4 linked regions of the Drosophila melanogaster genome follow. The protein of the gene in region 4 interacts with the protein of the main gene of each other region in a biochemical or structural test. Each region holds a gene or a part of one and is shown on either strand. Other genes may lie near its edges.

Region 1 (7,462 bases), on a different chromosome or scaffold from region 4:
CTAATTTAACTAATTGTACGCATTGTGACCATACCGACATTGAGTAACTTGATTGACTTAAATTTATTTCTAGGTTGTCAAGAACATTATTTTTAATCAATAAGGTATTTCTAAACAATTATCTGCACCTGAAACACCCTACATTTTCGTTTTGGCTTGCGATAGTTGTGTTTCGCGTAAGACCATCTCTAAAGAAAGGCGAATGACAAATCGTTAAGAAGAAGCATTCTAACCTTACAGCATTGATTTTACGCCAGCGTATTTTGCGAAAAAGTTTGTGAAAATGTTCCAAAACAGCGCTGCCCGCCTCCTGGTCCCCGCTATGCGTAGCGCCATGCAGAGCCGTTGCCAGTCGGTCGTCTCTGGACCTCCGACCCAGCGCATCTCCACCGCCGTAAGTTTGAGCTTGTTGCATAACCAGGATGTGATTCCCAAAGCGAAAAACTGATCCTTCACTTTTTGCATTACAGGAGAAGGTGATCCTCGGCGGCGGCATGTGCGCTGCATCCTTGTTCATTCCCGCCTGGGTGCTCTACCACATCCGGGACTACAAGGGCGACAAGTAATCTGCATACGAGACCACACATAGTTAATACGCTTGTAAAGTAGAGAGCATCAATATATCAATAGTGCCCCTGTTACGGGGAAATAAACTATAGTGCATTGAGCCACAAACTGATTTTATTATTTATCTATGGTCCAGCTGTAAATAAACGTGTGTCTGATATATGGTACTGACATTGTATAAAACGCAGTATGCCAGGTGTAAAGTGGACTCTAAAAGAGGCGGGCGGAATCCTTGATGTTTTAAATTCTTCCGTGTTTAACTTCAAAAACTGGCCAATGAGCTCAAGTTCATTTACTTTAAGTACAGAATCCAATTTATTTACTTTAACTAGAGTCGTGAGTGACAGATAGAAGAAGCATTATGCATATGCTTCCCTAATAAACATGCTTACCCGAGTCGACCGGCCACTATCAGGACTAGAAAATTATTTTTACTAGACATGCAGTGAATGAAAAGACCCTCGCAGTCAATTAAGTCAGCAGCAGATCGTGTGTATTTGTTTATATATTTTCACTTGAAGCATAATTTGAAAGACGGCTACAAATGATTTTAATGGGCATACAAATGCTTTAAACGAGCTTATTAGATATAATCATAGATGCGGTTTATTTTTTTTGCGAGTCCTTGCCGTCGCTCTTTTTGTCCTTGTCCTTGTTGAGTGAACCGACAGCATCGCGCACCGCCTCCGACTGGGGATCAACACCAGGCAGATTCTCCAGCACGCTCTGCAAGAAGGCCGGGTCTCCGATCACCTCCGAGTAATCCTCGTCCACGTCCATGGGAGCGTTTGCCTCGTCCGTCTTTGGGCGCTTTGCTTGCTGGGTAACAGAGTCGTCGGGAGCGTCCTGCATGGACATCTGCATAGCGAAGGCAATCTGTTCCTCCTCAGTCATGTTAGCAAAGTCCGGCAAGTTGTCCTCGGGTGTTTCGGTGGACAGGGCCAGGGCACGCTGCAGCATGGCCTCCTCGGTGTTGGCTTCGTTCTCTGCTCCGGCACTTTCTTCGTTTCCAGGTCCAGATCCCGAAACGCCGCCTCCGCCACCAGCATCTCCGCCAGTCGGTGGAGCCCCATCGGGATTGGCGCGACGTTGCTCGCTCTCCTGGCGCTGCCGTTGCTCCTCCATAGACACACGCAAGGCGAGAGCCAGTTCGGGGTCCTCGTTGGGATCTACACCGAATTCGAAGACGTTGCCGCCCAGGCCAGCTCCGCCCATGCCGTCCTCGCCCTGAATGATGGGTGACGACAGCAGGGCATCCGACAAAACTGATCCCCGAGGCACGCTGACCAAATGGGAGCCGGTGCCGTCCTTGCCATTAAGCGCGTTGATGAATGCTGTGAGAATCTCGTTGTTGTTGCCATGATCACCGAAGCTAACTATGTCTACGTTGACCTTCTCCTTCTTGAGGCGCTTGGCCTGCTTCACTAGATCGCCCTCCTCGTGATTGATGGGGGAGCCCACAAAGACCACGATGCGCATTTTGTGGTTCTTGCCTTGGCGATGCTTCAGCACCAGATGGGCAATTCGGATTCCGGTCAGGAGGTTTATCTCGCCCTTCGGCTGAACCAGATGCATCTTTGAGAAAATCCGTCCTGCATCGCTAGTAAGAGTGGCCAGCACTTCAACGGTGCTGAGGTATAAACAAAGACATAATGAATATGTGGCATGGGCACAAACGCTCCACACTCACTTGGACAGAGTCATCAGGCCCACATTGTTCTCGGGATTGGAACGCAGCTTGGTCAGGCAGACCAGATTGATGCCATCTCTCTGGACGATGAGACGAGTTGGAAAGTAGTCTCCGTTGCGCTGGAAGTCGCTGTTATCAAAGCTGGAAAAGAGCAAAATATGAGTGCCAGACTGTGTGCCGTTGCAAGCAGTACGGGAAAACTAGCGGAAGCTCTTCGTATTGCTCAAAAAACAATAATTTACCATATCATAGTACTCTCCAGAACCATTTTCGTATTTTTGCTTGTCACTTTGCCACTGAACTGTAATTCCCCAGGGTTGCCAGGTGCTGTGCTGCCTGAACTATCGGCATTAAAATATCGGATTTGTATGACCGTTGTGCGATATTTTTGTTTGATTATATTTACATATGTACATTCTTTTACATTTTTCTACACCAGTCCATTATTTAATGTTAGTCCTGTGGAAAAGTAATTTAGATTATGTAACACATTTAAAGTTGTTTATTTTATTTACTAATTCAGAATATTAATATAAGCAACAATGTTGAAACAAACAAAATGATGTATATTATCTCCGCAAGGAATATTACACTGAAACCAATCATTAGGCTCATGATTCCACCAGTTGACGCTGGAAAAGATACAAGGAAGATACAACGCTTTAGTCAACTGCCTTGAATTCTAAAACCATCTCTATATAAAAGTTGTATAATTTGTTTTTATCAATTTTGGATAAGCCTGAAGCTCTTTTGTATGGTACTAGGCAAAATCAAGCAAAAATATTTCCTTACGAGGTGACGAGTTACATACGTTATGTAACGACAAATAGTAATATTTGATTTGTATCAAATAAATTAACTCCTAAGTATGCAACTTTGAGCATAAAAATACCTTCTGATAAACGGTAATATTTGGATTTTTTAAGCAGATTGTGCATTACACACTCTCTTATTGTGCATTACACTCCGGGTGAACATCGTCACTACATGGACTGTTTTTATTAATCGACTTAAAATACCCCCTCGAGTTAAAAAAAAAAAAACATGGACGTTTATACTATCAGACGGACGGGCATCCCTGATAGACTCGGAATATTATCGGAATTGCAATTACTGTTCTAGTAACGATATAACAATAACGTAGAAAGTATTTAAGATCTAAAAAATTTAATAAATAGCATACCCATATATTCAGTGGGTCCGGTATACGAAGTCCTTACACTGCTCCTGAAATAGTTGTCGGTGTGAAAAAAGTTTACTACCGCCAAGTTTTTGCGCATGTATTCACTTGAGAAATTCGTCAAGTAGTTGGTCTGTGCCTTGACGTCCTTTTGGCTGAATGGAGTGGAAAATGCATCGGGAAAGAAAATTAGGTCGTGGCAGCTGGTCAGGCAAAACTCCTTGCACTGAGAGCTCTGTAGGTCGAAGATCTGGGACTCTGCCCGATTCAGACATTCAAAGTGGAACACATCGCACACTGAGGCGTTGGGATAAATTAGTGGTAGGTAGTAGGGAATACAACTGCAAAGTCTCAGGAAAAACATGGAGTCGCACTCGGCCTCGCAGTTTCGGCGCGTATAGTAGCGATAGAAGAGTAATTCCTGTTCGTCACTAAAAATACACTGGCGTTTCGTCCTGTGAATATTCCTTATAGAGGGTGTAGCCTCAACGTTTCTAGCTATGATGCGAAAACTCGTCTGGTGCCCAATCATCACAGGTAATCCTGACTCCTTCATGCGCGGCTGGTCTATCGGATTATACAGGAGTATCTGAAAGGTATCTGAAAGGTATAAGCTAGCTGGGCAAAAAGCGTACAACACAACTTACCTTAAAGCCCTGTCCGTTTGTGGAGGAGCAGAAATAGTCGTCCACGTGACCGTTGAGAACGATTTGCAGACCCATCGAGGTACCAACTCCAACTCCCGGACGCGGATAGTAACTTGAGGGTAGTCTCTGTGGGTAGCCAGATATTGGATCCCAGTCCACGGCGATATCTGCAAACCTGTCGGACGAAGTGAAGTCCCGAATGTAGGGCGATCTTTAAATGAGTAAGTAAGTTATTCGTTCTTTTGACCTTCGTTGAACCCTACTTGAACTTATAAAGATAATACGGATGCAAGACATTAAATATGCAGCACAATCCTTCATCCACGAAAGTTTCTCTAAAGATGTCAGTGCAGGGTATCCTTTGTTGATGAAATATGCAGGATACTATCAGATCTGCACACTTCTCGGAAACATCCAATATGAAATTTGAGAATGTTTCATTTCTGTGCTGAGTATCCATGTATTGCGAGAAATTTGACTCCTTATAGCAGGTCTTTTGAAGCATGGCGTATCTTATGGAGCCCCTAATAGAGTTTATTATATAATTGGGTTTCCATGGGACTTGAATGATACTTACGGCATTAAATGCTCTACTTTCGACTTTTTAGCCTGGTTCATATTGCAAACCGTTATGGTTGGAAACGGAATTTGATCAATGGGAGTCATCTTAGAGCTAACTTTAAAGTAAGATTAAAATGTATTCATATCCCTAAAAGTAATATATGTTATGATTTATATACTTCCAATAATAACTGGTGTGCTGTCCCACTTATTGTAAATTCCAACCGCCAAGTTCACGGCCACAAAAAGAACCAAGGCGAATATGATGGCGAAGTAAAGCTTTATCCACCAAGAATAATTATTATCACTAATAACGTACTTAAGCATTTCCATTGACGTATTTCTTAGGAAACTTTTTCCCCTTTTTCGGCTAACGCTTCGAATTTTTCCATGGAATTTCTTTATCAAGCGCATGGTCTGGTTTTTAGAAGAATTTTATGAATACTGTTCACCTGAGTTGGCCCGAATAACTTCTAATTACTTCAGATTGCCTGTAATAGCCTTAATTTACGTTAGAAATGGTATCTTATTTAGTTTCAAAGTCAATTAGAGCGTTACTGCTACACAGCAAATATGTTCAGGTACATTTGATAGTCAGATAAATTTTATATTCACACAAGCGGAATTATTACATTGAGATAATGTCAGATAAATAAATATAGATATTAAAGCTTTAGAACGTTACAACTACGTTATATCCTCCGTTAAATCCTCTCCATCTGTTCACTAACAGAATTTGACCACGTATCATTTATAAATTTTTTCGAGTGAAGTTACGCTGCGCTCCTGTCATTGCCGCGTCATTATTAGGAGCAATTATTTATACAATATACATACAAATGGTATACCCTTTAACACTAATTAAATAAATAGCCGGGTGGAAATAAATCCTTTTGATTAGTAAACTGCTTTCTAAGCTTTGATAGAATGGGGGAGTAACACTGTAAATCTTATTATTAAATATTATCTTACATCATTATGCCCGTTACTCGTAAATAAGAAGGCTTAGTAGATTCGTTATGTATGTAGAAGGATTAAGATGAAGATTATTGCTACGCCAATTCTAACGGCCCAAAACCGTTACGCCTTTCTGTCCAGTTTGATATTCTGTCTATTGATATGCCAAAAAAATTAAAAAATTTCTCGGGTATCTGATAGTCGAATAAAACGTTCTCTTCTGTTGTCGTTTTCATTCTTTTGTTCCTTTCCCAGAATTCCTAGTAAAATTTAAAAAGCGTTCGAACATTCAAACAGTAAACGGTTTGTTGTGCGTGTGATTTTAGTCTTCAATGGCTTTGGTCACACTGCGGAAAAAAATTGTGAATGTGATCCAAGGTGCATAAAACGACAAAGTAAGAAACTGTGAGTGCTGTGGACATTAAACCAGCTTCGATTTCAAGAAGTCGCACTCCCTGAAAGCAAGCAGGTAATGTAAAACATTCATCGCGTGCGATGCAAGGGTTATTTTGAAGTGCGGGATCGCAACGTTCATATGCGTACAGGAATCCTCGCACTTGCATACATACTTACATTGCATATTTCACTGATGCTAAGGGGATATTTGAAATGCAAAAGGTGTCACGAGTGCATTTCGTGTGCTTTCCTGCTAAGGATTGCGGAAACTCCCGAACAACTGTGGTTTAAGGGTACACGGGCTCTGTTTGCCGAATCTGCGTATGTACGCAGTGGCTGTGTCTGTAGGTATGTTCGTTTGGGGGTAAGAACGCTTGAGACTGGAGGTCACATTTTCCTGAATTTACCCATTTTGCCTAGCGTCAATCGCTAACCCCTCGCCTTTGCTTTCAGGTCATCAGGTCCAGACTTGTCAGTGATTTGAAAACCCGAAAACCCTTTTGCGATCATCGTAGCGAAATGAGTGCCGTCACCAGCAGCGATACAGCCATCAGCGGCATGGCTCTTGGCCGGAGCCAGACCATCTGCCGCTACTACGTGCGCGGCATCTGCCGCTTTGGGGAACTTTGCCGCTTCTCCCACGACCTGAGCCGCGGTCGTCCCGAGTGCGAGGAGCAGGTGGCCACCGACGTGCTGCCGAAGCCTAGTACAAGCAGCAGCAGCACCATTGGCAGCCGCAGCGCCAGCATCTCCAGTCAGCAGAGGAACTGGGCGAACGCCCCTGTGTTTGTGCCTAGCCAAAAGCGCTATACTGCCCACGAACAAAGCGAATTTGAGACCACTGTGGACCCTGAGGCGGTGATGGAGGCGCAGGCTGGAGCCAGCTACGATACATTAGCCCCGGGTGTCTCCTGGGCCGAAGTAGTGGGCGGACCTTCGTCTCTGAACAAAGAGGACTATGGCGAGGAGAACAGTTCCTGCGCCTGGGGCGAATTCTCCGCTTACCCCATTCACATGGAGCTGTGCGAAATGTGCGACCAGTATTGCCTGCATCCCACGGATCAAGTTCAGCGGAGGAGTCACAACCGTGAGTGCCTTCAGCAGCACGAGCAGGCCATGGAGCTGTCCTTCGCCATTGCCAGATCCAAGGACAAGACGTGCGGCATCTGCTTTGACACGATTATGGAAAAGGCGGGAAGAGAAAAGCGCTTCGGCATTCTCCCCAACTGCAACCACATATTCTGCTTGGAGTGCATTCGCACATGGCGTCAGGCCAAACAGTTTGAGAACAAAATAACGCGGTAAGTAAATGCTTTAGAGACGCTTCTTTGGTGACTACCAAGTAATTAAAGTAATTATCCAATTAAAAATCGAAGTTGTAGTAAGAATTTTAACCAAACTATTCATTCTGCTTAATAAAGTGGAACGACAAACAAGTTTCGTAAATATAATGCGTTTCTAAAT
Region 2 (9,624 bases), on a different chromosome or scaffold from region 4:
GTAGTTGTAGCCGGCGAAGGGCAGCTCCGTGAGGCAGAGCGTGTCCTTGATGGTCAGCGTGTGGTTTCGCCAGCTGGGCCGCGTGATGGGCTCAAAGTTTTGCGGCGTGACGCGCACCTGCCACACCAGGCCGCGATTGTAGTTGGACCGACGGGGCATCTCCCACGACAGGCACACGGAGCTCTCGGTCCTGTTGAGCAGGGTCAGGTTCTGGCCAGGTCGCGCCGGCACCAGACGCTCAAAGTGATTGATCGTGATCGGCTGCGTCTCGTGGCCCAGGGCATTGGAGATGGACAGTCGGAAGTAGAAGGTCTCGCTGAAGCGCTTGTAGTTGTCGTCGGTTAGGTTACAGGTGACCACTGGCGCCGAGTCGAAGTTGCAGTCCAGTGTGTTGCTATATCGCCAGTCGTTGTTGGTGTTGTAGCTGATGTTGTACTTGGTGATGACCGTGTTGGGCGGCTGGGTGAAGTTGCACACCATAAACTGGAAGTCGTAGTCCAGGCAGTTGAAGTCGCGCACCAGGAGCGGCCTGGTGCCCACGTAGACCTTTGACTTGTTGATCACATACTCGTCGCACATGCAGTGGTAGTCGTTCTCTTGCTCCACGGCATTCGTGTCGCTAAACAGGATGGTGGTGTTGTTCAGGATTCGGATGTGCTTGGAATCGCGGTAGACGCGGCCGCCGCCTGTAAAGTACAGCTTCTCCACCGGGCAGTCCTCGGCGCTCTTGCCGTTAAAGTAGTCTTCGTTGAGGGTGCAGCTCAGATTAAAGTCGCCGCCGATGAGCTGCTCCACCTTGGAGGGAATCACCCAGCCAGGATCCAAGATGGCGTTGGCGCCACCCCGGCAGCCGGCAAGCAGCATGAGCAGCAGGACGAGCTGCTCCTGGGCCACCATCTTCCTGGTCCTGGTTCTGCTCCCAATCCTAATCCTAATCCTAATCCCCTCCTTCCCTTGCTGTTAAGGTTTACTCTGGCTCTCTCTCTCTCTCTCTCCCACTCTGTCTCTCTGTCTTTAGCTCTTTTCCTCTCTTTCTGTCTCTCTCTCGCTCTTACACACGCGCGCACACCAAAACGGCGCTCTCTCACACACACAAGAGCACCTTGCTGTTGGCCTCGCACTTGTTGGCTGTGTATTGGTGGCCAGTTCTCGGAAACCGTTTATACGCTGCGTTCCTGGAAGTGGCTCTTAAACATTTCACTGCCCAGGTGTGGGCTTCTTGTCCGGGGCTTCACTACGACTAAATTACGAATAGGGCTATCAGGGCCTTGCAATGCCAATTGCTCGCTTCGAGCAACTGTGGTACCGTGTTACTGTTTTGTCTCTGGCTCTCTCGCAAATGCAGAATCCTCAGTTGGCTAAGGCGATCGCTCTCCTCCCTGCCCCCGCTCGCGATGCTGACGATATATGTTGTCGACGAGTTGCTTGTCCGCAGTGTGACCGCTTATCGAAAGTTATCGCAGTCCGATATGCGATATCACTGGGGCTACCTGTCGACGAACGGCCCCACTAAATGCGATAGGTGCCAAACATCGCATTTCAGCCGAAATTCGAATTCTAGGCCACCCGTTGCTTGTATCTCTAGAACGCCCTCTGCCGAATACGTTTTCAAGCAGAGCAAACTACTTGGCAGCGGTTTTGGACGCGTTCAAAGCGTTCAATTGGCCGCTATCGATTCATCGATTGGTGGTTGATACGTCAGCCCTGGCGTGTGTAAGAGTCAAAATCGAAATCCATCGTGAGTGTGTGTGTGTCCGTGTGAGTGAGAAAGTGACGAATTACTTTTCATCAAATGGGAAATAATTTAGGGTGAAAACACGTATATATTCGGAACACATTTAAATTACAGACGTGATAACATCTCGAAAGAACCAGCTACATCGGTGCAAATTAAGCTAAACGAGAACACCGCAAATACACCATCGAAATGGCGGAAGGCGGCAGCAAGCGCATCAACGTGGTTGTAAAAACGCCAAAGGACAAGAAAACGGTCGAAGTTGACGAAGATTCTGGAATAAAAGATGTGAGTACGGAGCACGTGACCCGCCTGACTTGGTTGCTGGTACCCCAAACCCTTCTGGACCCTTCCATTCATAGCGATGGACCACCTCCCTCCCTCCCTGCTCTTTGCCCACACCCCCGAAAGTATTGGGAAATTAGTGCCCGTAATCGCGGTACAGTGCACTTTGCCTAAGCCGCACACAACACGCGCAGCTGGTACAGTGCACTTTGCACAGTGATTGGTCTTCTTCCCATTAACACACATAAATTGAAGCAGAGGCATGGGAGCGAACATTTAATTGAAAGGGGAAACTAGACCATGGGCACATAATAATGACAACAATCACACCATTCTCGCCCCACAGTTCAAAATTCTGGTTGCACAAAAGTTCGAGGCGGAGCCCGAGCAGCTCGTGCTCATTTTTGCCGGCAAAATTATGAAGGACACGGACACCCTTCAGATGCACAACATCAAGGACAACCTGACGGTGCATCTGGTGATTAAGGCGCCGACGCGCAACAACGAGCAGCCGGCCCGACAGCCGGCTGACGTGCGCCAAACGCCCTTTGGCCTCAATCAATTCGGTGGCCTGGCCGGAATGGAGGCACTTGGAGCCGGATCGAACACGTTCATGGATCTGCAGGCGCGCATGCAGAACGAGCTGCTCAACAATGGCGACATGCTGCGCTCCCTGATGGACAACCCGATGGTGCAGCAGATGATGAATAATCCGGATACCATGCGTCAGCTTATCACGTCCAATCCGCAAATGCATGACCTGATGCAGCGCAACCCCGAGATCTCGCATATGCTTAACAATCCGGACCTGCTGCGCCAGACGATGGAGCTGGCCCGCAATCCCTCGATGTTGCAGGAGCTGATGCGTTCGCACGACCGCGCCATGTCGAATCTGGAGTCGGTGCCGGGCGGCTATAGCGCCCTGCAGCGCATCTACCGCGATATTCAGGAGCCAATGATGAACGCGGCCACGGAATCCTTTGGTCGCAACCCCTTTGCCGGCCTGGTCGACGGCGGCGGTTCAGGAGCCGGCAACAACCCGCAGCAGGGCACCGAGAACCGCAATCCCCTGCCGAATCCATGGGGCGGTGCCAATTCGGGAACCAATGGAACAGTCGGTGGCTCCGGCGCCGGCAATCCGACGGGGGATCTGCCGCCGAACAATGTGCTCAACACGCCGGCCATGCGAAGCCTGCTCCAGCAGATGGCCGACAATCCAGCCATGATGCAGAACCTGCTGAACGCGCCCTACACGCGTTCCATGATGGAGTCCATGTCACAGGACCCGGACATGGCCGCGCGCTTGCTGAGCAGCAGTCCGCTCATGTCTAACAATCCCGCCCTGCAGGAGCAGGTGCGTCAGATGATGCCGCAGTTTATGGCCCAAATGCAGAACCCCGAGGTGATGAACATGCTGACCAATCCGGATGCAATGAACGCTATCCTGCAGATCCAGCAGGGCATGGAGCAGCTGCGCAGCGCGGCCCCAGGTCTCGTTGGCACCCTGGGCATTCCACCGCCACCACCGGGTGCCGGCACCGGAACGAATCCAGCCAGCGGCGATGGGAGCGGGGGCAACAGCGGTGCCAGCACCAACAATGTTTCGCCAAGCAGCGGCCTCAACGCCGGCACCGGCACTCCAAACCTGGCCCCGGGCGGTGGTCCCAACGCGCAGCTCTTCAACGACTTCATGATGCGCATGCTCAACGGGATGTCGAACAACGCGGACAACACACAGCCGCCGGAGGTGCGCTACCAGTCGCAGCTGGAGCAGCTGAACGCCATGGGCTTTGTCAACCGTGATGCCAACTTGCAGGGTGAGTGTCCTAGTGGGTCTTGGTGGGTCGCCTGCCCTGTGCGATGATTCTAATCCGCTCTCTTGTGTTTGGTTTGCAGCTCTGATCGCTACCTTCGGGGACATCAATGCGGCGGTAGAGCGACTGCTGTCCCTCAACCAGTTGTCCTTGAGTTAACAAGGCTAAGCCATAGCCATAACCAAACTGTACACAACCTGTCTATATATCTACGAACTACAACTACTATATATACCACTACGGCCCTGGAGAACGCGAATGAGAACACGACTAGTTAGGAGGACAGGTCCTAAACCCAAACACACACCCTCCGCCAAAAAATTCCACGGTCAGCGCTGCTGATCGCTTGTTTCCCCATCAAGCCGGAAATGTCAGGAATCCATCATAGCCACATGCCAACATACCAACACCCCCAAGACACAAAAAGATGGCTCCAAACGAGCATAGTTGCCTCGAGATCGGAGAGATACTAGATATAGGTGGGTGATATGAATGACGCCGGTGAGAATGTTAGATAGGGATCGCATACCAAAGTGTTAGCACTTTCGTAGTTGATATCAGATTTTTTTTTTTTTTAAATAATTTACATTTCGTGAGCTCGGAGAATCCTTTAAGCGGAAATGCGTTAGCCGAAAACCAACTTGAATATGCATACTTTGCTCACGTAATGCATAGTTTTGCACGCCCAACAACTTCAATCGAAATACTTAACGCATTTCTTTATCGGAGAACTTCGTTAATTTTCAATAAAGTTAAGCGGGAATGTGCACTTTTGTCATTGATAATGTAATAACTATTTTGTCGCCAACAGATGCGAATTCCAGTTTTGTGTTTAAGAAAAAAGAATCGGTACAGAGATCAGAGGCGTAGTATATATCCTGTGTTCTGGTCAGGCAGTTTAGTTTTAGTCGGGTGCTAGTGGGCGTGGGCTATAGCCGCAGTCCTTCTGACTCCCCCCCCCCTCCATTTCTCGCGATCGGAAAACGTTCTGGAAATTGCAAACAACTGCAAACAGGACAAACGTACAGTAGATATCGGCTATATGCAAAGACGACACTGTCTTGGGGGAATCCTAACATACGCGCGAGTATGCTGTAGTCAATCAAAATGTTTATCGATTCGTTAATATAAGAGCAATCTCCAAGCGTTATTTATCCCACATCCCGTTCAGAGGAATACAAATGTAAAAAGTTGTTGCACACAAGCGATTTGCATGCTAACGATATCTACTGTAAGTTAATGTGTGTATATAGGTATATATATATGTATATACATATATATATATATATCAAAATATTCCAAGGTGTTAACAAAAGACGTAAAACTATAAAACAAAAAAAAAAAAAAAAAAAAAAAACCAACTCCTTAGTAAAGAGAGGAAGCCCCAATAATAACTTGTAATGTAATTTACTCTAAGCTTTCGTATATAAAACCTATAACCGACCATTTGGGTTCCCATTTCCGATCAATCACACACACACACACTTTCGAAAAGCTTTCCTTCGCGCGCTCACCGTTTATATAAGATATGGATTCAGTGTATACCCTGTAAGTGCTACCACCACATAGCCTCGCTCGTCCGCTGTGGGATTGGCTGGTCGGCCGGCTGGCTGGCTGGCCGGCTGGCTGGCTGGCCGGGTTGTTGGTTGGTCAGTTGGGCTAGTGGACTAGTGGAACTACGTTTATTTGTTTAGTGAAGGAAGTGAGGCAAAGTAATTAAATGTAAATGATCACATGTTTGAAAACGTAATAAAGCTACTTTGGTTTTAGATTATAGCCAACCTCGTCTATTACTCTCTACTATCTCATTTACTTCCAAAGGCATCCGAAATAAAGCAGCTCACCCACTCTGGCTTAGTTTTAGTAAGCAGTACTTTCTAATTGCTATTCCAAATCTTTACTGCAGCTTAAACGTTTATAATAACTTATACACTTATAACTTATAACTTATGTCCTCATGCCGACAAGTTAACCAGAGCATCCCAGATCCAGTCCATGTAGAAAGTCACATTGGTGCAGACACTTAGGCCCGCACAGGAGCTCAAGCCGAAGATGATGATGCCAAACTGGAAGGTGCGATACGTGCCCCCGTAGAGAATTTTTGCGCTAAAGGGGCCACCGGAATCCCCTTTGCATGCGTGGCTCGTCTCGGTGTGGACGCATATCTGCGACTCGTCCACCTGCTGCTGGAACTTCAAGGTGCAGAGTTCGCGATCGATACGATCCCCAACGGAATGCTTCAGCACCCGTGGTATGCTGCGAAAGTCTTCTGCAGTGGTGCCCCAGACGGTCAACTGGAATCGGTCGATGGCCGCCACTGGCTCATTGATGAGCAGGCAAATGGGGCGCACGAAGTCTATAGGGGAAAGGCAGTTCTGGTTGAGACTTTCGAGGGCAACGACTGGATATCTCCCACTCAATTACCTGAATACTGCACCGCATGCTGCATCCGGAGTAGGCCAATGTCGTACTGTTGGGCTTGTATTTTGCCGAATCCGGCGTGCACGATCTTCTTGTCGATCCGAACGCAGTATGCGTTTGATAAGCGAGCACCCGAGCTGCAATTTTGTCCAGGATTCCAGGCGTCGAAATCACCCAAGTGCACCTGCCTACAGGGAGAGATTGGGTAATGGGCTGATGACCACCACATATGCTGGCGAATGGGCAGGACTTACATGGCTTCTCTAAATACGCAATGTGCTGCTGTCAAAACAAATCCTGGAATGGTTAAAATTTAGCCTTGCGTGAGCTAAATAAGACACTCATCATTTGGCACAAACACTCACTATGATTGATGAGCGATCCACTGCATTTGGCCTTGCCATTCACTATCACCGAAACAATCCAAGGATTGGCCTGTATGTCAGTGCTGCTATCAAAGTAATTCCACCAAGTTAGCTTAGCGTTAGTTGGAAGCGACCTTCCACATTCCGCGTCGAGCAGGAAAGCCGATCCCTCTCGGGATCCGAGAAATAGAGAGGCAAAGAGGATCAGGAGTGCCGCTATGACTTTCTTCATTGTAGCTCGAGGCCCGAATGGAAACCGAACTTCGTGCCATTGGGTTTTTATTATATAAATTTGACACTCACTTATCGCAAGTTCCTCACTTCTGCGAAAGTTGCAAATTGGGCTGTGTTCTACGCGTGCTTCAATGAAATTTTGGCTGGAACACATGCCACATCTATATCCATACATTTAATCACTTTTATTTCTTATAAAAAATTGATTAATTTTGGATTTTTGATTCACTCAATTAAATGGAATAGCAGAAATCAATATGGATAACATACATTTTCATTTGAACTATGACATTTCGTTTATTTAATATCTAATATTAAGTTTTTACCGTTATTTAAACTTTAAATAAAGTTCTCTTATTATAATTACTCCGCGTAATAACGGAACATAACAAGGTGTATAGGGTAGAAACACCCTTTGAAGATCTTGAATTAGACAAAGATACACTGATGGTGCGAACGAGTCCGGAGTACTCTTCGGATCTGAAACCCTATACCTTTGAATGATCCGTCTATCATATCGAGTGGGAAATTTCCTTTAACGCCGTGCACGCCAAGTTAAAGGATTAAGTACCCTTGCAGTTAAACGTTAGGCATAATCTATAGTCTACAGGTACATACATATCTATAGTCAGATTCAATTAAAATGCAATTCCTTTGTCTGAAATCTTGAAAAATTATAATAAATAAATAGAAATCCAATCGTTTAATTTGCGCCACTTTATTTTTTTAGCTATAGGATACACTGCAGGAAGACAGCATTTTCGTTCCGATTTGCATAGTTGTATGTATGTATGTACATATGTACATATGTATTTAAACGAGCTGACAGAAAATATATGGCAACAGAACTAAGAGACCATGGAATCGGATGGACATCCACAGTCTCTGGGATAACATCCGTAAACCGACCACGCTCAGCGGAATAGGAGGGAGCTTCAAGAATATCGTAATTAACATTCAGACTTAACTAGAACAAATCCGTGCCTGCAGTTCCAGTCACCGACTTTTAATCGGTAAATCACCGCTCTTTTAAAAATGTTGAGCGCTTAAACACCGCACAATTTGCACGAAAGCTACCGGTGATTTTAACATTGGCATGTTTTAGGAAATCATCGGTATGAAAAAAAAATCCCAAAAACATCGCTATTAATCACCGTTGTTTAAGCGCATTTTAACGGGCCAATCGTCCTTTGATTCAGCGTTTTTTCATCGCTGCTTTAGCGGTTTTGGGTTTTGCGGTTTATGGTTTTTCATCTTTGGGAGAGAGATCGCTCGCGAGAGAGTCGGTGTCGGTGAGAGAGTGTGATGTTTCTCAAGATCGATGAATTGGGGAACTGCAGGGAAGGTATCAACACACTGACAAAGTCAAAAGAGCGCCAAATCTTCGCTATTGATCACCGTTGTTTGAGCGCATTTTAATCGTCCTTTGATTCTGTTTTGCGGTTTATTAGTTTTCATTTTTGGAAGAGAGAGATCGCGTTCGAGAGAGTCGGTGTCGGTGAGAGGGTGTGATGTTTCTCAAGAGCGATGAATTGTGGAACTGCATGGAAGGTGTTGAATATCTTCTACCGAAAATAACGGTATCTAATCGCCCATCTACTTTATGAATATTTTTCGTGCGTAAGTGAATGTAAAATCATATATGTACATATGTATGTACATATGTACGTTTGCAATTGGTTTATTACAGCAGCGGCTTGAGCGAACAATCGAAAAACATTAAATATAGTATGTTATAGTAGGATATAGTACAACTACGGTTAAGGCACTCATACACTCTAGCACGCGCACAGGCACACACGCCAAATCGTAACGTATCGTACAGCTAGATGGGGTATTAGTCATGTCGGCGGATGCGGGGGTGAGGGGGGAGTAGGTGACGGAGGAGGCGGAGGCGGAGGAGGTCAGAGCTCCTCGAAGAAGGCGACACGCGCCTTGGTCGAGCCGGACTTGAGTTTCTTGAGCGTGGAGTATTTATTTTCGCCGGCCTTGATCTGCGCCTCGCTGAGGATGTCCAGGTTGCTCTGGTTCTCCTCAATCTTGTGCGGCGCGATCTCGGAGCGCAGTGTCTGCAGTTGACTTTGCACCTGCTTGGAGTTGCGCAGGTAGTCGAGGTGGTTGCGCTCCATCTCATTGGTGATCTGCTCCATCTCGTTGTCGGTGAGTATGAACTCCTTGGGCTCGAAGTCGTCCGAAATGCCGCTGGAGTTGTCACCTTGGACCAGGTAGTGTGACGAGTGGGTGGTCAGCTCGGCGCCGCCGGCGGTCTCCAAATCATTGGTTGAGCTGCTTGTGATCAGGGAGGGTGTGCTGATGGCCGCCATGCTGGACGCCGTATTCGCCGCGTGCGACACACTGGAGGCGGTCAGCAGGCTATCCGTGGAGGACTTGCGGCCGCTGTTGAGGAATTCGAGCAGGCGAGCGGTGGCCTCGCGCTCCGCCATTTTGGCGCAGATCAGCTCCTTGCGCAGCTTCTCAGTCTCGGCCTCCCGCTTGTCGTTCTCCACCGTCAGCTGGTGGACATAGAAGTCGGCGTCGCGAATCTTCTTCTCCAGGTCGTGCTTCTCCCGCTCGATTTTCATTTGTCGCTCGCGCAGCCGGTCCATTTCCGTCTTGAAGTGGTTTGCCTTGCACTCGGTCAGCTGCATCTGCTCCTCGTTGACACGACTCTTTTCGAAGTACAGCTCCTTGGTCTCTTCGGAACGCCGCTGGGATACAGGGAGAAACTCAATATTATAGATCAGAAGCCACTGGGCGGAGTGAGTCTTAC
Region 3 (8,719 bases), on a different chromosome or scaffold from region 4:
GTTGAGTGATTTGAGAGGCCTTATACGAGAATGTATTGTGAGTAAACCAAGCAAAATGAGGAAGGTCAAAAAGTAGTGCAAGAAATATTTTACTTTAATATTTAGACTTGCGCAGGCAGGAATAGTACGCAAGTCGGCGCCGAATTCATTGGCATCAGAATTTTGACTCCGGCTCCTATATACTATATGTTAATTTATAATTATATATGTTTTTATTGTATTTAATAACAATGGATAGTTTACGTTCTCAGAATGGTAGTAAAAAGTAAGAGACGGTTTAAAGGCAGCTTGGCAATGTCACCATTGGTTTACTGGATAACGTCTTCTGTTACGGCCTTAGATTACGGATTTCTATAACTACTTCTGCTATGACTTTCTACATTTATAGATACCTTTCTGCGTCTTTTCTACTTTAATTCTGCTCAACTTCTTTGCGGAATATTTTTCGCGCGTTCTTTATTTCCGCTGTTCTTGTCTTGTCTTGTAAATATGAATCATATCTTAGCAAAGATCTTTAAAAACTTCTTTGGCTATAAATGATGTGTATTATGGGCACTTCTCTTCTACTAGAACGTGAAAAAAACTGTTTCCCAAAATCACGACGACAAATAGCTTTGCTGACTGCAGTTTTAGGCAGTTTTTTAAACCATGGCGTTAAGTTGATCCATCTTTGTTTTTGACTATGACGAGTCTGCTGGCGAAATTCGGCGCCGACTTGCGTACTATTCCTTTTCGTTGCCATTCCGAAACCTGATCTCGATTCTCTTCTCCTTGGGCACAATCGACAAAATTTGGTAAAATGTTCAATTACTTGTAGCATGGATTTGTTTCAAATTAGGATAAATTGTTTTCCCTTTACATATATACAATCTTATAATATTTTGTATCTTTTCACCGCGTAGCATCTTACTAATACTTCCAAAATCACTAGGTTGCGTCATATCGATATGAGAAAGTGTACATCAATCCGGTAGTTTGTGTGTAAACACCACTCTATCGTTCTAACTTTTTGATTTGTCGTTAGATAAGCTGTGAAGCTTGTCTTTCGTCGTTGCCAGACCATTTCCACATAAATGTGTATGTTTTCACTTTATATGTATGTCACTGTGGTCGGCAGTCCTATTCGTGTCAATGGTCACCAAAGAGTTTCTATACTACAATTTTGAGCTTAAAGATTTGTCATTAACACAGTCAAACCAAAGACACTAGAATAACGTTATTTGTGGTCCGGTGGGTATGCCCATGTTTATAAAGTTAATTCGACCCAGTCTAAAGTTCTGGAACGTGTCAAGGAAAGAAGTATTAACGAGTGCTTCTCTTTCCACTTACCTGCGTTCTACCAAATCTACCAATAATTCTTGTGTCTTTGAATCTACATTGAGTCAGGAAAGATTTATAATTGTAGCAACATTATAGAGGGGACCATAGCCATACATGAAACTATTAGAGATTTATTAATATTAAAGTGTAGAATTCTTTGCATTAATAATGCATATTACAATGTTCGAGTTTTATATTTGTCGTATTAATTGGCAAGCAGAAAAGTATCATAAGTCCAAATGTTCTACAGTTTTGTATATTTGTAAATTAATGATAATCTAAGTACTGTAAAACTGGAGAACATTTATTCCTGTAAAAATAAGCAATAAAAAATATTTATAAAAATTTTAATTAGTTTTTTCGTGAGTAAAGGGTATCTGATAGTCGAGGCACTCGACTATAGAATTGTTATGAATGTCATGCAATTAATGAAATTGTTTTATTTCTCCGACTCATCCTGAAAGGAATCACCAAAGAGACGCCACAGCTTATTAGGGCATAATTGCGGACATTATTTACAATAAAAAAACACGAAATTTATGTAATACAATGATTAATATATTTTAGTCATATGTCCAACATCCAGGACGACAAAAAGTACTTTATGTGTTAAGTGACTTAATTGTGGACTCCCACTAGTCAAAAAAATATTTTATAAATCAACCAAGATAAGGAAAGAATAAATCATAAGACTTCTTTAGCTTAATACGACCTTAAAATAATTAATGTGTGTATTGCATATACACTAGAAATACACACACTAGAAATATACTTTGCCATCCATTAGGTGAAGGCCTAATCCAAGGCCTCCCTACCATGGATTGGCACAGATAAATTTGTAGACATTTGCAGTCTTATGCTGAAGACAATGTCGTGGTGAAATATTTAGTAAAAATGACATCGTAACTCTATTTTACCCATGGCTGCAATTTTTAACAAATAACAAGTACAATACGCCGACGGTATTAAAAGAATATAAAAGAATTTTTATGATCGACATTTTACATTTAATTTAAGAACATCTAACTTTAAATGTAACGCTTCCGGTGTTATTTGCATAACTTCTTACATTTTGTCATCCTAATCATCGAAGCTAGACGATAGCAAAAAATTAGCTGCTTGTTCCTCGTTCTTTTCACAAGCGAAGTACGCTTGCAGTACAAGGGCCTCTGGGAATCCAAGAGCTTTTAGCTAGAAGAAGAATATATTAAGTAACTCGACAGTCCATATATAATTATTCACTCCTATATACCCGTTCTATTGCGTCCTTATCTTGGCGATTTAAACGAATGGTTGATACTCCTAAAGGTTGTTCCAAGTCTTCGTTATCCGCTGCGCTACCGCTTTGATGTGCTGCACTTGTACCCGCGGCTGATCTTTGTGCTGAAGTAGCTACTTCTAAATCTGGAGAAAAGAGGTCAACATTGTCCAAAGTTGAAGGAATCCGCGCATTCGAAACGGGAGGAACGGTGGCGCCTGACTCCGATTCGCGGTCAATCGGTTGATTAAGCATATTGAGAAACGCATCTTGGTTCTCCGAAATAAGTTGTAAAAGGGCTGGGTTTGTCTGACCAATCTATACGTAAAAAAAATTATCATTTACGTGTCATGTAATTATTATTATAAGTGTACTTACCTGCTGCAATACTGCATGCAAAAGATGAGGGTTTTGATAAATTAAAGATCGCATTTGAAGAAACTGTGGCTGGCTACGTAAAAATTCAAAGGGGTCTGAAACGTAAATATAAATAATTAAATAATAATTAAATTAACTAAAAACATATAGTGATGCCCTGTCCTTGAAGAGAATAGTGACAAAAATTCGTGAATTATCGCTCCTTTAGTGTCTGTTGACATATATATGTAAATGATACTGCGGGACAACGAGCTCACAAACATTTTAGTGAATCTTTAACAGCTGCATATATTTCCAGTACTAAGAGAACTCTTTTATTATTTATTAACGAATGTGCAACATAAGTTTTGATCAACAATATTTCTTGACCAGGAAAACTAACGCAATTATGTTAAGGCCGTATAATTTCATTAAAGAGCGAGAGCCAAATCGGGTTTATTAATTTCACTATGTTTTGAAGTGTGCAAATTTAGTACTTCTGGGTAGAAATTATATATTTTCGTTTCATACAAGAATACATAAATTGACTGCTGATTGAAATCCCATCAAGTTACCTGAATTTGATTCTGTTGAACGCTCGGCAGAGGTTGCCGACGCAGGTTGCGGTCCGGAGGGGATTAGACTAGGATTCGTTGATTCATTCAGCCTATTGTAAAAAGTACCTTCCTCTGCAGGTATGCCATTAATGAGATATTCAACGGCTCTTTCCGGGTTGTTATAACTAGCAGCCATCGCACGTTCAACCTGCTCTCTTGGGTAACCCATTTCCACCATTGATAGGACTGTTTGGTTGTATTCGTCACCCATAAGCAAATTAGATTCAGCGCGCGATTGTAAGGAAGCCTGGGCCAACTCGCCAATCAATTCGTCACTAGATAAAGGTCTGGTTTCACGTGATAAAACTGAATCTTCTGTATTTGTGGAACTAGGCGAATTGGTATGGTTGGCTTCTTCGCAAGGCATAGATTGCTTTGAATCGTCGGTGCTAGTCAATTTATTACTTTCTTTTACACTAAGTTGATTACGATTTGAACTAGACGAATCGCGTGTCAACATTACCACAATGAACTTTTTTTCATCAACGTTGTATGAACCAACGGTGCGGTCATCCGTCAATATGACGCCAGCGTAGATCAGTTTTTGTTTTTCGGCGACGTACTCTGGACCGCGCTCCTCGAATATTTTCTTCTTCAGTTCCAAAACCTTTTGTAATCAGAATCCCTGCTTATTATGGTACAACAAATTAATTGTAAGAAATACCTGTATAAGCACACATATGCATTTGCAATAATTGTATATACCATACATGTGAATATACTAGTATTTGACTATTTGTACACATACCGTTTTTTCCGGGGCAAACTCAATAGTAAAAGTTTGCTGTTGAAGATTTTTAATTGTAATAATCATCTTGTGTATCAGACAAAACCAAAACTTAATTAAATATACATATGCATACACATATGCAAACTCGAAAGTTAGTTCCCAATATCGCTTGATAAAAACGATTTGTCATCAGTGTGACCGCACATGGACTGGCAAATTATACCTTCTCGCTTAAAAGACACAAAATCGCAGCACAAACCAAAGAGTTCAATAGTCCTTATAACATTTTCACACATCAAGAAAGATGTAAAGATTTGTAATGAAATTTATAATGAAATATGAAATATTGAAGTCATAATGAACGTAACAAATAAACAATTGTCCGTGGTTTGACTGTAGTTAGTATTTCATTATATCAACGATTTAGATCATACTATATACAGGTTATACCTGTAGTATATAAGTCTATTTATAATATACCATCGGTTGATGATCAATAAATTTCAAAGAAATTTAATTTTTAATTCCGTTTAAGTAGTTCGGTATTTCTTTAAAAATACTTTAGTTTAACCAAAGACACTAGAATAACAAGATGCGTAACGGCCATACATTGGTTTGGCACTATGCAGCCACTTCTTTGGTGACTGCCAAAATTACTCTCTTTCCGCTCACTCCCGCTGAGAGCGTAAGAAATCTAAAAATATAATTTGATTGCTTGTGTGAGTAAAAACAAGAGACGAGAACGCGTATAAGTGTGCGTGTTGTGCTAGAAGACGATTTTCGGGCCGAAATCAATTCTGATCGAAGAAACGAATTTACATGGTACATATTAGGGTAGTTTTTGCCAATTTCCTAGCAATATGATAAAATAAAAAAATTTTTAAAAATTCGCGCCCTGACTATTATAATTTTAAAGCTTTTTAAATTTGTTTGTTAAAATCGCCGCTCGAATTAGCTACCGTTTACACATTTATATTTATGTTTAATTCTAATTTGTCTCTCATCTGACAATTTTTTAAAAGAGAAATTATTTTTTTAAAACACTTTTAATGTTAATGTTACATCATATTAAGTCAAATGATTTAATAAATATACTAAATAATTAAATATGATAACTGTTTATTGCAAAAGTAATATCAAAGTAATATACTAGAATAATTCTAATGCTTTGTTCATATCTTGAGGCACGAAGTGCGGACACAAGCACTCAACAATCATTGCCTTATTAATTTTTCACACGCCGCAAGATGAATACTCTAATGACAAATATTCTTATATAAAGTCATTTTTGAAATTTATTTTTGTGATAATATGTACATAGATTTGGCTATTTCTGATATATTTTCAAATAATAATAACGTTAAGGCAATGCAAAACAAGAATTTTTCGCATGGTGCCAATTGATCAAAAATAATATAGATTTAAAGTCTAAAAACTTCTGAGGTGAAGGGCATATTTTGTCAAATTTACAATGCATGAGCATACGTGTGCACACATACAGATGTCTCCTACCACTTTGTGCGTTGAAAAGAGCTGTTCGCTGTAGCGCTCTTCGCTCTCTCGCTCTCAAACAAAAATTCGAGAGAGCCTGGAGCCACCTCTAGAGCCACGGCCAAAAAATCGTGTGCCAAAAAATCGTATGGCGTTACGCATCTTGTTATTCTAGGGTCTTTGGGCAAACCAATGTATGGCCGTTACGCATCTTGTTATTCTAGTGTCTTTGGTAATACCGTATTCCTTTCAAAAGATATACATCAATGCTTATCTTCTGTCTTGTGAACATATATGATTTGAGTTCATATAAGATTAACGAAAATTTCGAAATTAAGATAACTATTGCTGTATCATCAGTGGGGTGTTTAAATGTAGTAAATATCGAGAATTTTAAAAGATACAATTTCAAAAATGACAAATGTGTTAATTCTAAATAATTGTATATACCATAAAAACAAAAAATAAAAATTTGCTGTTGAAGATTTTTAATTGTAATAATAATCTTGTGCATTAGACATTTGCAAAGAATAATACAAAAAATACACGAATGCATTGTTTTTCCACTTATCAATTAATAATAATAAATAAGTGTATTCATGTGAATTAATTTCATTTCTTGTGTTAGCATCAGATTTTCATTTCTTCGTGCACTCTCTCCTAGCTTTCTTTTTAACCGTGACATATCGGGATCTGCCAAGAAAACTATTTGATGACAGGATCTAGAGGAAGTAAACAATTCGATGCACTTGTCAAGGTAGAATAAGGATGGCTGTATTCAGAACTCTTGTCAGTTATTATCCCCCTAAGTTCCGATTTTGGGAATTCCTAATGAGTAGCACAACAAAATTGGCTGCACTCAGCCACAATTATATTTTGGTAAATGTTTCAAAGTACTCCGTATTATAACTCGTACCTATGTATATGCATACATATACTAGTATTTTCAATGACATGCGCACAGAGTCGAGCTTTTCATGCAAACGAGCTCTTATAAAAAAATGTATTCGACGTGTTTTCATTGGCATAAGTAGCTCGATATTAACTTAAACGACATATTGTTTTAGGAATAAAGTAGTTTTAAAGTAAAATACAGTTTTTGCCGTTATTTAAATTCAAAGGAAAGACTCAAATTTGTAATAACAACACGCAATCTAATAAGACAGTGTAAAAACATAGAGTACTGTAACAATTATACTGAATGTTGGATTAGTTTGGTTTGCTTATTTCTTAATTGGGATCTCCGGCACCTGCAACCTTTATGACAGCGAACTAAACAAATAATAATGTTTTGGACCAAGTTTTATGAGATTTACATAAGTCAAACATAAAACAATGTGTACTCCTTTAAAAAGAAAGCCATTAAATAACAATATTATATGCTCTACATCTTAAAGTGCGACATAGTTTATACTGTGGTGGTACTGTGGTATAAAAAATAAACAAATAAAAATAAGTTGGGTGTTGTTATTATATATTATTATACACCTTAGTTACAGAAAGTTACGTTCTTATCTGCATGAAATAAATATGTATGCCCGAAGATATTATATCTTACATAATCGATTTCTTTGTTATTTACTTGAATTAAGATTCGAATTGTCGTAAAAAAATTACACATACTTCTCACTATTACAGACATGGCAAGCATAGTACTTATAGCTTGCTTGGCTATATTGGGATTAATTATTACAATCGCTCTTTTTCTGGCTGGAGGATACTTGTGGTGGAGGCATAAAAGATCACAGTTACAGTTTATTGAACCAAATGAAGATGAGGAATCTAGTAGTTATAGTCTTCGGTAAGTATTTGCATTTCCTGTTTAGTATATGACTTTATATATTTCATGGGGACAGACATTCGACTCTTAACAAGCGATAGAGGATCTATTTATGTCTATGACTGTATATTATCAACGATTTTGAGTATGCAGTATTTCTAAATTGTCCTATTCATTTGACTTTTTTATAAATACGTTAGTTGAGTACCCTCGGAATATTTAGAATATTTATATATCATGCTCTGCAATATATAATAATATATAATTATAATTTAGCTACAAAAAACCAACATTTTTGAGTTGTATGCAGTTTAATGAAACATCATAATTTATAGCTTATTATCGGATGATTGATTGGCAAATACAAAATTTTAACGTTAAAATATTTTATTCTTCTGTAACGGGAACCAATCGATATAAATTGCTAATTATGCCCGTTACTTGTAGATTAAAAGGGTATAGTAGATTCGATGAAAAGTAAGTAACAGGTAGAAGGAAGCGTTTCCGACCATATAAAGTATATATATTCCGTCTGTCCGATCTCGATCCCAGGAACTATAAAAGCTGGAATGTTGAGATTATGCATGCAGTTTCCAGAGACAAATGTTGCCAAGCCCACACTACCGCCCGTCGTATTTTCATACGTTTATTAGTTTTGTAAATTTCTATTAAATTGCCAACTTCATGCTACGCCCACTCTAAAGCCCACAACCATCCCAAAACTGCCACGCCGACACTTTTAAAAAATGTATTAATGAATTTTCATATTTTTGCTAGTCTCGTAAATTTTTATTCACATTTTGAAAAATGTTTTAATTTTGTGGCGTGGCGACATCAGGAAACAATATTGAGCTGTGCCTATGTCTCTGGAATTTACATGCTTAGTCTCAACTGTCTATCTTTTTTAGTTTCTAAGGTGGTGGGTGTTATTTTATTTTTTCTTTTCATTCCAGTTTTTATCGGTACGCCAAAAAGAATGTCGAGAAGATGTTGAAATAAGACTTTGCGAGAGTTGTATGCAGTTAGCTTGAAAGTAGTGTACATACGGACGAGCGAGCAGATGGACGGACGTAAAGGGTTAGTTCGTCTCGGCTAGTGATCCTGATCAAAAATCGCTCAAAAATCACAACCAATCGAAACGCAAGCTATCGTAATTTTTGTCACAC
Region 4 (6,493 bases):
TGGCCCACTGGTCTCCGGCGGAGTCCTCGTCGGTGTTGTCTCCTGGGGATACGGATGCGCTTACTCCAACTACCCCGGTGTCTATGCCGATGTTGCTGCCCTCCGCTCCTGGGTGATCAACAACGCCTAATTATTTTTCGAAATAAATCATATATGAACAGTTTATGACGGTCGTCAGTTTATTTTAAAAGATGGTCTTAGTTAAAAATCAGGACACAGGGTTCACATTTTTAGATGGTAATGACTGTTCGAGTGCAATGACTATTAGATATAGTGAGTTGTGCAAGCAGTAAAGGGACTGCTTTTAGGACTATGGAAATTGATTGATTGGATTTAACTATCCCCATATTCTGTTAGAATGCCCTAAGGATTATTAGCGTGATTGGAATTGTAAACAACTAGGCATTATTAAGAAGCAAACTTGCGCAATGTAGTCGTAAATAAAACATGCATTTTTAACTACAACTTTAAAGCTCTATTAGTTTTCCAAGACTGTACGTTAGGCGGATAGGGAAATCTAGATCATGATCAAGAAGAATATGAATTTTATAGGCTCGATACGCATCATTCTACATAAGACTTACTTTATAACGATATATTCGTAACCATTTTATTTTTATACTCTTTACTCGTAGAGTAAAAGTGTATAATAGATTCGTTTAAATGTATCTAACAGCTACAAGTTAGTGTTTCCAATCATATAATGTACATATATTCTTGATCAGGATCGATAGCCCCATCCGTCTGTCGAGTTCTTAGCAACTATAAAAGCTAGAAGCTTGAGATTAGGCATACAGATTCTAGAGACATAGACCCATATTTCCCCTCCCACAATTTTGAAAAATATTTTGATTTTTTTCACATTTTTATTGTTTTGTAAATTTGTATCGATTCGCCAAAAATATTTTTGCCACGCCCACTCTAACGCCCACAAACCAATCAAAACTTTTTTTTCATTCATTCATTCATTCATTTCATTCATTAATTTCATTCATTCATTTCATTCATTAATTTCATTCATTCATTTCATTCATTAATTTCATTCATTCATTTCATTCATTCATTTCATTCATTTCATTCATTTCATTCATTTCATTCATTTCATTCATTTCATTCATTTCATTCATTTCATTCATTTCATTCATTTCATTCATTTCATTCATTTCATTCATTTCATTCATTTCATTCATTTCATTCATTTCATTCATTTCATTCATTTCATTCATTTCATTCATTTCATTCATTTCATTCATTTCATTCATTTCATTCATTTCATTCATTTCATTCATTTCATTCATTTCATTCATTTCATTCATTTCATTCATTTCATTCATTTCATTCATTTCATTCATTTCATTCATTTCATTCATTTCATTCATTTCATTCATTTCATTCATTTCATTCATTTCATATCATTTCATTCATTTCATTCATTTCATTCATTTCATTCATTTCATTCATTTCATTCATTTCATTCATTTCATTCATTTCATTCATTTCATTCATTTCATTCATTTCATTCATTTCATTCATTTCATTCATTTCATTCATTTCATTCATTTCATTCATTTCATTCATTTCATTCATTTCATTCATTTCATTCATTTCATTCATTTCATTCATTTCATTCATTTCATTCATTTCATTCATTTCATTCATTTCATTCATTTCATTCATTCATTTATATCATTCATTCATTTCATTCATATCATTCATTCATTTCATTCATTCATTTTCACTGTGGAGTTTCTATCGATATGCCAGAAGAAAGATGCTAGTTCGTTCACCCTGACACTAGCTGAGTAACGAGAGTATCTGATAGTCGGGGAACTCGAATATAGCATTCTCTTTTGTTAAAGAGTAAGTTCGGTTAACATAAGTTAAACTATGTAGTAATTGATCGAAAACGGGTACCTCAACAAATTACCTTTAATTTATTAAAATGATTTAAACCATTATTAACCTCCCGACAGAAATCTAGGTGTTTGTTATTTTTCAGGAGGTGAGAATACATTTTTTAGAAGGTTTCCTTTCCCATTTGCTGAATAAGACACATTACTGTTGAATCAGTAATAGGTCAAAACCACAATGAAACATAATAAAAGTAATATCCAAACTGAAATTTATTTCGCATACTTCTTAGGCATTGCTAATAACCCAGGAGCGGAGGGCAGCAACATCGGCATAGACACCGGGGTAGTTGGAGTAAGCGCATCCGTATCCCCAGGAGACAACACCGACGAGGACTCCGCCGGAGACCAGTGGGCCACCGGAGTCACCCTGGCAGGCATCCTTGCCGCTGGCAGCAGCGCAGATCATGGTGCTGCGGATCTGGCTACCGTATCCGTAGGTGGAGGAAGCACACTGGCTCTGGCTAACGATGTTCACGTTCACGTACTGCAGCTGGGAGGGGATGGAGCTGGATCCGTAGGAGAGAGTGCCCCATCCGGAGACGGAGGCCGCAGCGCCGTTGGCGGGGTTGGAGCTAGCCAGACCGATGGCCTTGATGGTGGAGCTGAAGGTCAGGGCGCCGTTGATCTTGATGATGGCAATGTCGTTGACCATGGTGTTGGCGTTGTAGCCCTCGTGGTTCTTGAAGGAGGACACAGAGAAGGTGACACCGCCGGAGCTCCAGTAGCTGGATCCAGCACGGATCTGCAGGACGGAAGCGGACACGGACTGCAGACAGTGAGCGGCGGTCACGATGACGTTGCTGGAGTAGATGGATCCACCGCAGGAGTGGCTTCCACTGCGCTGCAGGGAGATCTGCCAGGGGAAGCTGCTGATGGTGGTAGCAGAGCCGCCGACAATGCGGCCATCCAACTGAGGCAGGAGTCCCTCAGGGACGGTGCCTCCCAGGGCGCAGGCTACTGCAGACAACAAGATCACGAACTTCAGCATGGTGCGAATCCAATGAGTTGACTCTAAACTGGACACCCCTTTTATACGAGTTTCCAATCTGTTCTTGGCACTATAATCACAACTTTCAATTATTTTTATCACCTGCGTGTCAGGAAAACCCAAATAATACCGTTGAAGTGCCCAAATGATATTCCACAACTCAGAAGTCGCACGGCTCTTTATCACAAAAATAAATAAAAATGCAAGGAAAGTGTAACTACTTTTATATTACCTTTCTAAATAATTCGCGTTCTTTTTATTATATTTAATTTGCAAGGTATTGATGGGAACGTCTTTTTTCGACTTACATATTTAAATAGGGGATTAAACTTGTACAATAACATTGTGGAATTTTTTAAAAGTGGATGCTTGTCATTCAACTTGATTTAGTTCTAATCTAATCCAATTATTATACATAATTGTGTGCATAACTATTAATATTATTGGCTTTTTAAAAGAAAATAACTGTTTAGCATTTTAATTTGTGAATTTTGTAAAACCATTAATTTTAAGAACAATTTAATCGCCTTTGCATTAATTTTAATTACATGATTATGCGTTCAATTGCATTGTTTTCTAGTAATGCTCATGATGTTTCTCATAAGTTATATAATTTCTTTTAAAAAATTATGGTGTCTGTTTATTTAAAACACAATAAATTGTTTATAGAAATATAAATTGTTTTAATTTCGTTTAAACCCCGATATCTTTATGTGACTATCTTTTTCAAGCTATTTAAATGACCAACTTATTGCAAAAAAAAATCGTTTGGCATGAATCTGGACTTTGTATACGTATATACTTCTTATTCGCGAAATCTATTTGTCGGTCACACATTTAAAAAATATTTTGGATTTCCCTGACAAGCAAGTGATAAAAATAATTGAAATTTATGATAAGAGCGCCACAAAGAGATAGGTCCCTGTATAAAAGGGGTGTCCAGTTTAGAGTCAACTCATTGGATTCGCACCATGCTGAAGTTCGTGATCTTGTTGTCTGCAGTAGCCTGCGCCCTGGGAGGCACCGTCCCTGAGGGACTCCTGCCTCAGTTGGATGGCCGCATTGTCGGCGGCTCTGCTACCACCATCAGCAGCTTCCCCTGGCAGATCTCCCTGCAGCGCAGTGGAAGCCACTCCTGCGGTGGATCCATCTACTCCAGCAACGTCATCGTGACCGCCGCTCACTGTCTGCAGTCCGTGTCCGCTTCCGTCCTGCAGATCCGTGCTGGATCCAGCTACTGGAGCTCCGGCGGTGTCACCTTCTCTGTGTCCTCCTTCAAGAACCACGAGGGCTACAACGCCAACACCATGGTCAACGACATTGCCATCATCAAGATCAACGGCGCCCTGACCTTCAGCTCCACCATCAAGGCCATCGGTCTGGCTAGCTCCAACCCCGCCAACGGCGCTGCGGCCTCCGTCTCCGGATGGGGCACTCTCTCCTACGGATCCAGCTCCATCCCCTCCCAGCTGCAGTACGTGAACGTGAACATCGTTAGCCAGAGCCAGTGTGCTTCCTCCACCTACGGATACGGTAGCCAGATCCGCAGCACCATGATCTGCGCTGCTGCCAGCGGCAAGGATGCCTGCCAGGGTGACTCCGGTGGCCCACTGGTCTCCGGCGGAGTCCTCGTCGGTGTTGTCTCCTGGGGATACGGATGCGCTTACTCCAACTACCCCGGTGTCTATGCCGATGTTGCTGCCCTCCGCTCCTGGGTTATTAGCAATGCCTAAGAAGTATGCGAAATAAATTTCAGTTTGGATATTACTTTTATTATGTTTCATTGTGGTTTTGACCTATTACTGATTCAACAGTAATGTGTCTTATTCAGCAAATGGGAAAGGAAACCTTCTAAAAAATGTATTCTCACCTCCTGAAAAATAACAAACACCTAGATTTCTGTCGGGAGGTTAATAATGGTTTAAATCATTTTAATAAATTAAAGGTAATTTGTTGAGGTACCCGTTTTCGATCAATTACTACATAGTTTAACTTATGTTAACCGAACTTACTCTTTAACAAAAGAGAATGCTATATTCGAGTTCCCCGACTATCAGATACTCTCGTTACTCAGCTAGTGTCAGGGTGAACGAACTAGCATCTTTCTTCTGGCATATCGATAGAAACTCCACAGTGAAAATGAATGAATGAAATGAATGAATGATATGAATGAAATGAATGAATGATATAAATGAATGAATGAAATGAATGAAATGAATGAAATGAATGAAATGAATGAAATGAATGAAATGAATGAAATGAATGAAATGAATGAAATGAATGAAATGAATGAAATGAATGAAATGAATGAAATGAATGAAATGAATGAAATGAATGAAATGAATGAAATGAATGAAATGAATGAAATGAATGAAATGAATGAAATGAATGAAATGAATGAAATGAATGAAATGAATGAAATGAATGAAATGAATGAAATGAATGAAATGAATGAAATGAATGAAATGAATGAAATGAATGAAATGAATGAAATGAATGAAATGAATGAAATGAATGAAATGAATGAAATGAATGAAATGAATGAAATGAATGAAATGAATGAAATGAATGAAATGAATGAAATGAATGAAATGAATGAAATGAATGAAATGAATGAAATGAATGAAATGAATGAAATGAATGAAATGAATGAAATGAATGAAATGAATGAAATGAATGAAATGAATGAAATGAATGAAATGAATGAAATGAATGAAATGAATGAAATGAATGAAATGAATGAAATGAATGAAATGAATGAAATGAATGAAATGAATGAAATGAATGAAATTAATGAATGAAATGAATGAATGAAATTAATGAATGAAATGAATGAATGAAATTAATGAATGAAATGAATGAATGAATGAATGAAAAAAAAGTTTTGATTGGTTTGTGGGCGTTAGAGTGGGCGTGGCAAAAATATTTTTGGCGAATCGATACAAATTTACAAAACAATAAAAATGTGAAAAAAAATCAAAATATTTTTCAAAATTGTGGGAGGGGAGGGAGGGGAGGAGGGGAAAGGGGAAATATGGGTCTATGTCTCTAGAATCTGTATGCCTAATCTCAAGCTTCTAGCTTTTATAGTTGCTAAGAAACTCGACAGACGGATGGGGCTATCGATCCTGATCAAGAATATATGTACATTATATGATTGGAAACACTAACTTGTAGCTGTTAGATACATTTAAACGAATCTATTATACACTTTTACTCTACGAGTAAAGAGTATAAAAATAAAATGGTTACGAATATATCGTTATAAAGTAAGTCTTATGTAGAATGATGCGTATCGAGCCTATAAAATTCATATTCTTCTTGATCATGATCTAGATTTCCCTATCCGCCTAACGTACAGTCTTGGAAAACTAATAGAGCTTTAAAGTTGTAGTTAAAAATGCATGTTTTATTTACGACTACATTGCGCAAGTTTGCTTCTTAATAATGCCTAGTTGTTTACAATTCCAATCACGCTAATAATCCTTAGGGCATTCTAACAGAATATGGGGATAGTTAAATCCAATCAATCAATTTCCATAGTCCTAAAAGCAGTCCCTTTACTGCTTGCACAACTCACTATATCTAATAG

Evidence for each region.
Region 1: of the proteins of gammaTry (region 4) and Rpn10, one has a biochemical effect on the other in vitro, tested with the Drosophila melanogaster proteins (one study listed by BioGRID).
Region 2: of the proteins of gammaTry (region 4) and Ubqn, one has a biochemical effect on the other in vitro, tested with the Drosophila melanogaster proteins (one study listed by BioGRID).
Region 3: of the proteins of gammaTry (region 4) and Rad23, one has a biochemical effect on the other in vitro, tested with the Drosophila melanogaster proteins (one study listed by BioGRID).

The regions. Positions count from the first base shown.
Region 1 is NT_037436.4:21,532,176-21,539,637, reverse strand, and holds Rpn10 (regulatory particle non-ATPase 10), read right to left. Parts: upstream 2,639-7,462; 5' UTR 2,526-2,638; coding exon 2,500-2,525; intron 2,399-2,499; coding exon 2,258-2,398; intron 2,198-2,257; coding exon 1,174-2,197; 3' UTR 1,056-1,173; downstream 1-1,055. Other genes in the region: COX8 (cytochrome c oxidase subunit 8), read left to right, coding at 284-394, 471-566; ppk5 (pickpocket 5), read right to left, coding at 2,777-2,889, 3,441-4,026, 4,085-4,295, 4,348-4,608, 4,662-4,761, 4,825-4,978; Mkrn1 (makorin 1), read left to right, coding at 6,518-7,299. UniProt on the Drosophila melanogaster protein: Binds and presumably selects ubiquitin-conjugates for destruction.
Region 2 is NC_004354.4:19,682,074-19,691,697, forward strand, and holds Ubqn (ubiquilin), read left to right. Parts: upstream 1-1,734; 5' UTR 1,735-1,927; coding exon 1,928-2,023; intron 2,024-2,366; coding exon 2,367-3,837; intron 3,838-3,916; coding exon 3,917-3,993; 3' UTR 3,994-5,585; downstream 5,586-9,624. Other genes in the region: dome (domeless), read right to left, coding at 1-897; CG14227 (uncharacterized protein), read right to left, coding at 5,790-6,190, 6,259-6,443, 6,510-6,552, 6,621-6,852; Mer (merlin), read right to left, coding at 8,759-9,562.
Region 3 is NC_004353.4:303,871-312,589, reverse strand, and holds Rad23 (Rad23), read right to left. Parts: upstream 4,498-8,719; 5' UTR 4,367-4,497; coding exon 4,301-4,366; intron 4,178-4,300; exon of another isoform or gene 4,160-4,177; coding exon 3,511-4,159; intron 3,052-3,510; coding exon 2,957-3,051; intron 2,897-2,956; coding exon 2,573-2,896; intron 2,512-2,572; coding exon 2,401-2,511; 3' UTR 1,768-2,400; downstream 1-1,767. Other genes in the region: Syt7 (synaptotagmin 7), read left to right, coding at 7,414-7,574.
Region 4 is NT_033778.4:11,347,235-11,353,727, reverse strand, and holds gammaTry (gammaTrypsin), read left to right. Parts: upstream 1-3,857; 5' UTR 3,858-3,872; coding exon 3,873-4,634; 3' UTR 4,635-4,667; downstream 4,668-6,493. Other genes in the region: CG30025 (uncharacterized protein), read left to right, coding at 1-130; CG30031 (uncharacterized protein), read right to left, coding at 2,140-2,901.